2 linked regions of the Mus musculus genome follow. The protein of the gene in region 2 purifies or fractionates together with the protein of the main gene of each other region. This does not show direct contact. Links are inferred from orthologs where the notes say so. Each region holds a gene or a part of one and is shown on either strand. Other genes may lie near its edges.

Region 1 (3,648 bases), on a different chromosome or scaffold from region 2:
TTCTTCACTACTTACAGTTTTCATTACGTGAGACACTGGTACTTTTGTATTTTAGTGGAACCTTGGTAAAAGGCAATGGAGAATTTTTTGAAAAGTCTCTCCAAAGTCATTATTCTAAGCTTGATTTTGAGTCAATGTCAAGTACAGTGGTGGGAAATAATACAAAGGATTCCTGTGTACCTTCACCAAATTTTCTGCAATGGTAATATACTCCATAGTGAAGTTCAGTAGCATAGTCAGGTGTTGGCATATCCAAAAACGTTTTTTTTTTTTATTTTTTTGAGACAGGGTTTCTCTGTATAGCCCTGGCTGTCCTGGAAGTCACTTTTGTAGACCAGGCTAGCCTCGAACTCAGAAACCTGCCTGCCTCTGCCTCCCAAGTGCTGGGACTAAAGGTGTGTGCCACCACTGCCTGGCTAGATATTTTCTTTATTTACATTTAAAATGTTATCCCCTTTCCTGGTTTCCCCTCTGAAAACCCCCTATTCCCTCCCCACTCCCCCTGATCCCCAATCCACCCACTCCTGCTTCCTGGCCCTGGCATTCCCTCACACTGTGGCATCGAGCCTTCACAGGACCAAGGGCCTCTCCTCCCATTGATGACCAACTAGGCCATCTTCTGCTACATATGCAGCTGGAGCCATGAGTCCCACCATGTGTTTTCTTTGGTTGGTGGTTTAGTCCCAGGGAGCTCTGGGGGTACTGGTTAGTTCATATTGATGTTCCTCCTATGGGGTCTTATACTTCTAACCTTCCTGCCTTTGCCTTTGATTGCTGGGATCACAGATGTGCATTCTTGAGGAGTAAGGCCCTCTAGTAGGTGGAGCTGGGGAGCAAGCTGGGGAGGAAGTGGAAATCATCTTCTCTTAAGAGAAAGGTAGGGGCCTAGAAACACAGAAGTGGATGCTCACAGTCAGCTATTGGATGGATCACAGGACCCCCAATGGAGGAGCTAGAGAAAGTACCCAAGGAGCTAAAGGGATCTGCAACCCTATAGGTAGAACAACATTATGAACTACCCAGTACCCCTGAGCTCTTGACTCTAGCTGCATATGTATCAAAAGATGGCCTAGTCGGCCATCACTGGAAAGAGAGGCCCATTGGACTTGCAAACTTTATATGCCCCAGTACAGGGGAACACCAGGGCCAAAAAGTGGGAGTGGGTGGGTAGGGGAGTTGGGGGGGAGTGTAATGTGGACTTTTTGGATAGCATTGGAAATGTAAATGAGGAAAATACCTAATAAAAAAATTAATTCTAAAAAAAAAAGAGAGAGAGAGAAAGGTAGGCTGGGGCTGGAGAGATGGCTCAGAGGTTAAGAGTGCTGACTGCTCTTCCCAAGGTCCTGAGTTCAATTCCCAGCAACCACATGGTGTCTCATAACCATTCATAATGAGATCTGATGCCCTCTTCTGGGATGTCTAAAGACAAGTAGTGTACTTATGGATAATAAATAAATACTTCTTAACGAAAAGAAAAGAAAAGGAAAGGGGAAAAGGGGGAAAGGGAAAGGAGGAGGCAGGCTGTTGCTTTGGGATCATGTGGCGGAAGCACTCGGTTTCCTTAAGCAGAAAGATGTTTGAGAGACCCCCGGGGGCCTCACAGAAGGTGACTTGTTTAGATTGAATACCTTTTAGGAAGTCAGTCACAGAGTTCCCATCCTCCCACCCCAGTCGGAGTGCTCCCCTCCCCATCTCCAACTTGTAATCAGGCTTGGGAGTTAACTGGCTTCTTGGTCATCAAGTGAAGAGATAGCAGTTGGCTTCATTTCAGCTGACTTCTTGATATAGGCACTACATAGCCAAGTGGTTCACACTGTGACCAGCTCAGAGCAGGAAGTGTCCAGAATTGTGGCCCAGCAGTCAAGCCTGCTTCCTTCAGTAGCCAATGTCCCTGGTTTCTGATGTGTTCCTCCATAAGCAACTGAGTGTACACATAAAGTCTGTGCAGTGGACTTCTGTAGCTGTATAGCCCTCTTTCCCCACTCTCCCAAGAGCTGCCTGGCAAGCACACCTGATTCTTACAGGAAGTTCTATGCACTAAGTTTTTCACTTAATGCTATAAAGAGCATTCCCTCCAAGCTGGGTGTGGCACCGAATGCCTTTAATTCCAACACTCACGAGGCAGTGGCAGGCAGATCTCTGTGCTCTAAGACAGCCTGGTCTAAGACCTTGCCTCAAAAAAAAAAAAAAAAAAAAAAAAAAAAAAAGATGAAAAAACAAAAACCCCGGATTTCTGAGTTCGAGGTCAGCCTGGTCTACAGAGTGAGTTCCAGGATGGCCAGGCTACACAGAGAAACCCTGTCTGGAAAAAAAAAAACAAAAAAATACAAAAAAAAGAGCTCCCCTCCCTCTTGTGTCTGAAGTGTTCTACTGTGTGATATCTCTGCAGTAATGCTCAGTCAGCTGTCTGGGTCTCTCACTCTCCACCTTTGAGGCAGGGTCTCTGTCTAGTCAGGGTTTCTATTCCTGCACAAACATCATGACCAAGAAGCAAGTTAGGGAGGAAAGGGTTTATTCAGCTTACACTTCCATACTGATGTTTATCACCAAGGAAGTCGGGACTGGAACTCAAGCAGGTCAGGAAGCAGGAGCTGATGCAGAAGCCATGGAGGGATGTTCTTTACTGGCTTGCTTCCTCTGGCTTGCTCAGCCTGCTCTCTTATAGAACCCAAGACTACCAGCCCAGAGACGGTCCCATCCACAAGGGGCCTTTCCCCCTTGATCACTAATTGAGAAAATGCCTTCCAGTTGGATCTCATGGAGGCATTTCCTCAACTAAAGCTCCTTTCTCTGTGAACCCTGGACATAATTCCCCCCCGCCCCCAGCAGCCCTCCTGTCTCTGCCCACAGCACTGCAGTTGCAGAGGTGCGGCCAGGCCCAGCTTTTCCATGGATGCCAGAGGCTCACACTCTGGTCCTTAGGATGGTGCGTCAAGCACGCTGAGTCACTGAGTCGTTGTCCCAGCCCCATGTGTGAGGGGTGTATCTATATATACCTGTTGATTAGTTTTCCAAGTGGATACTCACTCTGGTCCCTGCCTGGCTCTGCAGACATCCGGGAGCTGATCGAGGTGGACGATGTGATGGAGGACGAGTCTCTGCGGTTCGGCCCCAACGGAGGCCTGGTCTTCTGCATGGAGTACTTTGCCAATAACTTTGACTGGCTGGAGAACTGCCTGGGCCACGTCGAGGACGATTACATCCTTTTTGACTGTCCAGGTACAGCAACAACTTGAGTGTACAATCTGCCTGGAGCTGTGACACTGTGTCCTCGTGGGGACGTAGTGAACAAGTACCTGCAGAACCCAGTTGGATCCGGTTTATCCCTTGGGTTGATCAAGTGCTTACTGAGATCAACCTTAAGAGTAAGGGGCCATAGCTTGTGGCTCAGTGGGAAGCAAGTGCGATCAGCAGTTGCCCCATGATTTGTATTTTTGGCAGGTGACCCACAGAGGGAACAGGAGGCAACTGGTCAGTTGTCCGTTAAAATAGGCTATGGGACAACATGGAGTCAGTTGTGCAGGCAAAGGGCCTCAGACAAGAAGCTATGAGCAGACTGAGGCAGGGGTGGCTATTTGACCAGAGGTGCTGTGAGGTGAAATTGGGAAGGGACAGGTGACGTGTGAGCTGTGGACCGGAGCCAGCCTT
Region 2 (4,215 bases):
GCCTGTGGAGGGCAGGGAAAGGCACTGACTCATAGGAAGCTAGAGTTACACATTGCTTTGACCCACCTGATATGGTTGTGGGGGATTGAACTTGGGTCCTTGAGAATAGCCAGTGCTCTTAATCTCTGAGCCATCTTTCCAGTCCTTATTTTATTTCAAGGATAGGTTCTTACTATATTATCTAGGCTAGCTTTTCTTGGGCTCAGGCAATCCTCCCATTACATATGCCTAAGACACACACACTTTTTTGGTGACTGGCTAACATGGGTGCTGGGGAATGAGCTTTCAAAGGGCAGTACATGTTCCTAACCACTGAGCCAGCTCTCCAACTGTAACACACACAGACTTTTTTGTGTATGGTGTGCTGGGGCTGAAACCCAGACTCCACATCTGCCTAGAATATACTCTGTCACTGAGCAACACCTTCAGCTCTATAATTTTCTCCTGTTCATTTTTCTTGTTACCCTCCTGTGTTATCAGTTTTCTGAGAGCAAGAGTTGTCCTTTGCAATCCTCTCAACACTCTATTCCTAGTACCTAGGACAATATCCAAATCACACATTAGGTTTTTGTCGTTGAATAATTAAGTGCATACATGCTCATTCATGTAGCAGAGGCTGGAGCTACAGTTGTGAGCAGAAACAGGCACGTTTCTTTGCCTGGTGGTGTTCACCATTTAGAAGGTGACACTAAACACCTCTAAGACTGTATAATGTCTAAGCCTGGTGAAGGGAATTGAATTTGGTACTGTGAAGGTCCCACTGCAGTGAGGAGATAGGCTTCATTGAAAGTGCATGTAAAAGATGAACTAACCATTCCAAAATTCTCCATCTCTGGTCTTTGATTCTTCCCCGAACCTTTCAGAATCCCAAGCTCTTAAGGAAAAACCGCACCGCTCGGGTCGTTGATCCCCTAATGCACTGACCTCTGAGCAGCTCACAAGTCCCCGGCGTGTAACCTGCTTGCTTACGGCAGCGGCGGAACCCGGTTCCTTTGGTCACCGAGTCCACCCTTTCCTGGGAAGCCATGGGAGGGCCCTAGGAGGGAGAGAAGCAATGACTCGCCCTAGTTACGCTTCGCAATCCGGACCTCTCATCACGAGCAACCTGGGAGTCTGAGAAGCTGGTGCCCGACCCCTCGGCTCCGGACAGCGCAGTGACCACAGTCCCTATCGTGACGGTCCGGGGAGGAGCGCTCACCTTAGGCGATGACCTGGGCGTGACAGAGCCCTCCGCACGGAGAAACTCCAAGGAGCTAGAGTGTCAGCGTCCTCACTAATCGCTCCTTGTTACCATGGTAACTAGCGACACGCCTCCACGCACGCGCATTAGCGTCTGGTCGGCCGCTGCTTCCCGGAAGTAACTGCGCCTGGGTCACGGCGCAAGCGCAAACTACGCGTGGTGCGGCGAGGGGCAAAGGCGCGCGTTCTCTGCTCTGCGCCCCGGGCGGAGAAGGCATCATGTCAGACAACGAGGACAAGTGAGCACGGGCCACGGAAGGAGGGAGGTCGTGGTGCGAGCAGGGCTCTTGGAGCACAGGCTAGCCCAGCTGCTGGGTTGGTGGGGCGAAGTCTTCAGAACTTCCTACCTCGCGGAGCAATGGGGACAGTGGTCAGAGAGTTCAGTCCGTGTGGCCCCTGTCCTCTGAGCGCTCTCTTTCTGGAAGGGAATGCCAGAGGTGTGTAGCTTGTGTAGTCGTGGAAGTAGGAAGGAAAAAGCAACCCAGAGAATGGCCTGGAAGGCTGGGAGCAGACGCGGGCTTGGGCTAGGTGTGATAGTAGCAGAGGTGGCAGAAGTGGGGATAGACTCTAGAGAGCATGAAGTTTAGTGTTGTTTGAGGCAAGGCCTCACTCTGAAACCCAGGCTGCCCGGGAATTCACTATATAGCTAAGGCTGGCTTTGAATTCGACACAGTCCTCTGCTTCAGCTTCCCAAGTGTTGATATATCTGGCATGAACCACCAGACCCAGCTGGATTATGGACATTTTTTTTTTTTTTTTCCGAGACAGGGTTTCTCTGTATAGCCCAGGCTGTCCTGGAACTCACTTTTGTAGATCAGGCTGAACTCAGGAATTCACCCACCTCTGCCTCCCCAAGTGCTGGGATTAAAGGCGTGCGCCACCACCACCCGGCTGGACATATTTTTATTTTATTTATTTGGAGACCAAATATAACCTTATATCAGGTGGTTCGAACATAGAGATTCATCTACCTCTGCTTTCCAGGTGATTTTTGTTCTTTTTTTTTTTTTTTTTTCCTGAGACAGAGTCTTTCAACATAGTCCTAGCTGTGTCTGGAAGTCACTGTGTAGATTTGGCTGTCCTCAAACTTACAGAGATCTGCCTGCTTTCACCTCCTGAGCACTGGATTACAGGCGTGCGCCACCATGCCTGGATCCTGATATATTTTAAAGATAGAACCTAAAGGATTTCTTGATACGCTGTATATGTTAATCAAGAGAGAAGATGAACTATGGTAGTCCTGATAGATCAGTCAGAATTCAGAGTCTGGGCGTGGTGGTTCACACCTGTAATCCTAGCACTTGGGAGGCTACTGCAGGGGAATTGTCCTGAACTAGATGTCAACATAGTGAGTCTCAGGCCAGCCTGAGTTACATACTGTGCAGTAAGATTGACTTCAAAACAAGCATACAAAATACAGTCAAAAATGCAATGAAAGCAGAGATGACGGCGTTGACCAGGGCAGTGATTGCCACCAGAGAAGAGATGGTGAGTGAGTGACTTGGGGGGAAGAGAACCCAGAAAAGCATCCCCTCCCCCAGAGTGGGAGGCAGGAGGGAGGAGCCAGGTATGCTGGCTGTCCAGGGGAAGGGTTCAGCATTGTAAAGATCCTTAGTGAAGCTGGGGGTGGTGCAAGCCTTTGATTCCAGCACTCAGGGCAGAGACTTGGGGGGGGGGGGGGGAATCTCTCAGTTCCAGGCCAGCCTTGTCTGCAGAGTGAGTTCCAGGCCAGCCTTGTCTGCAGAGTGAGTTCCAGGACAGCCAGGCAGCACAAAGAGACACTTTTCTTTTTTTTTTTTTTTTTTTTTTTAAAGATTTATTTATTTATTACATGTAAGTACACTGTAGCTGTCTTCAGACACACCAGAAGAGGGCGTCAGATTTCGTTACAGATGGTTGTGAGCCACCATGTGGTTGCTGGGATTTGAACTCTGGACCTTTGGAAGAACAGTCGGGTGCTCTTACCCACTGAGCCATCTCACCAGCCCCTTTTTTTTTTAAAGATTTATTTATTTACTATATGTAAGTACACTGTAGTTGTCTTCAGATACACCAGAAGAGGGCACCAGATCTCATTACGGGTGGTTGTGAGCCACCATGTGGTTGCTGGGATTTGAACTTCAGACCTTCGGAAGAGCAGTCGGGTGCCCTTACCCACTGAGCCATCTCACCAGCCCAAAGAGACACTTTTCAATGGGGAGGTTGTGGGGTGCGATGATCAGTGAGCACAGGAAGGATGGCTGTGGAGCTTGAGGGTGTGGCGAAAGCCTTACTGAGGTGAGGCTCTGACTCGGGAAGTGAAGAATTGGAGACAGCGAGTTTGGGCAGCTCCCTCAGACATTGTGCACCACGGGAGGCTGATGAGATGGAGGAGGGGCTAAAGGTGAAAGTTTTGCTGCCCGAGCCTAACAACCTAGGTTTGATCCCTAGAGCCCCTGGTAGAAGGAGAGAACAGAAAAGGGAGTCTTGGTGGTGTATGTGGGCCTGTACGCGAGCACGCATCATGTGCACGTTAGCAATAAATAAGCATGTTTTTAGAAGCCTGGTGACCTTAGGCTATGAAAATGGCAATGTCACCTTGGTCTTATGTAGTTTTGTTTGTTTGTTTGTTTGTTTGTTTTCTCCACCATAAGGGAATATGGAATTAAGCTGTAGCAGGAGGGGAAAGAATAATGGTGTGTTGTTTGTTTGTTTTTAAGAGGGGGAGGTGATGCTGGTAGTGTGCTGGTGCTGTGAGTGCCAGCGGCTTCATGCATGCTGTCTACACACCCTACTTTTGAGTTACAGCTCCAGCCCTGAAGTACACTTCACTTGTTTTTGTTCTTGAGACAAAATCTCACTATGTAGCCCAGGCTGGGCTCAAACTCCTAGTTCTCTCACTTCCCATTTCCAAATGCTAGGAGTACAGGAGTGTGCTACCACCCTGGCACGTTTATATTTCTCTCCTTATGTCCTTATGAGAGGCTGAAACTGTCT

Evidence for each region.
Region 1: the proteins of Polr2f (region 2) and Gpn3 purify together in Homo sapiens (affinity purification with mass spectrometry; 3 studies listed by BioGRID and IntAct, counting the BioPlex papers as one, with this or other methods). This does not show direct contact. The link is inferred for Mus musculus from reciprocal best matches to the Homo sapiens genes POLR2F and GPN3.

What each region holds. Positions count from the first base shown.
Region 1 is NC_000071.6:122,375,416-122,379,063, forward strand, and holds part of Gpn3 (GPN-loop GTPase 3), read left to right. Parts: intron 1-3,051; coding exon 3,052-3,219; exon of another isoform or gene 3,220-3,296; intron 3,297-3,648. UniProt on the Homo sapiens protein: Small GTPase required for proper localization of RNA polymerase II (RNAPII). May act at an RNAP assembly step prior to nuclear import.
Region 2 is NC_000081.6:79,139,957-79,144,171, forward strand, and holds the start of Polr2f (DNA-directed RNA polymerases I, II, and III subunit RPABC2), read left to right. Parts: upstream 1-1,368; 5' UTR 1,369-1,458; coding exon 1,459-1,478; intron 1,479-4,215. Other genes in the region: 1700088E04Rik (UPF0193 protein EVG1 homolog), read right to left, coding at 925-1,027. UniProt on the Homo sapiens protein: DNA-dependent RNA polymerase catalyzes the transcription of DNA into RNA using the four ribonucleoside triphosphates as substrates.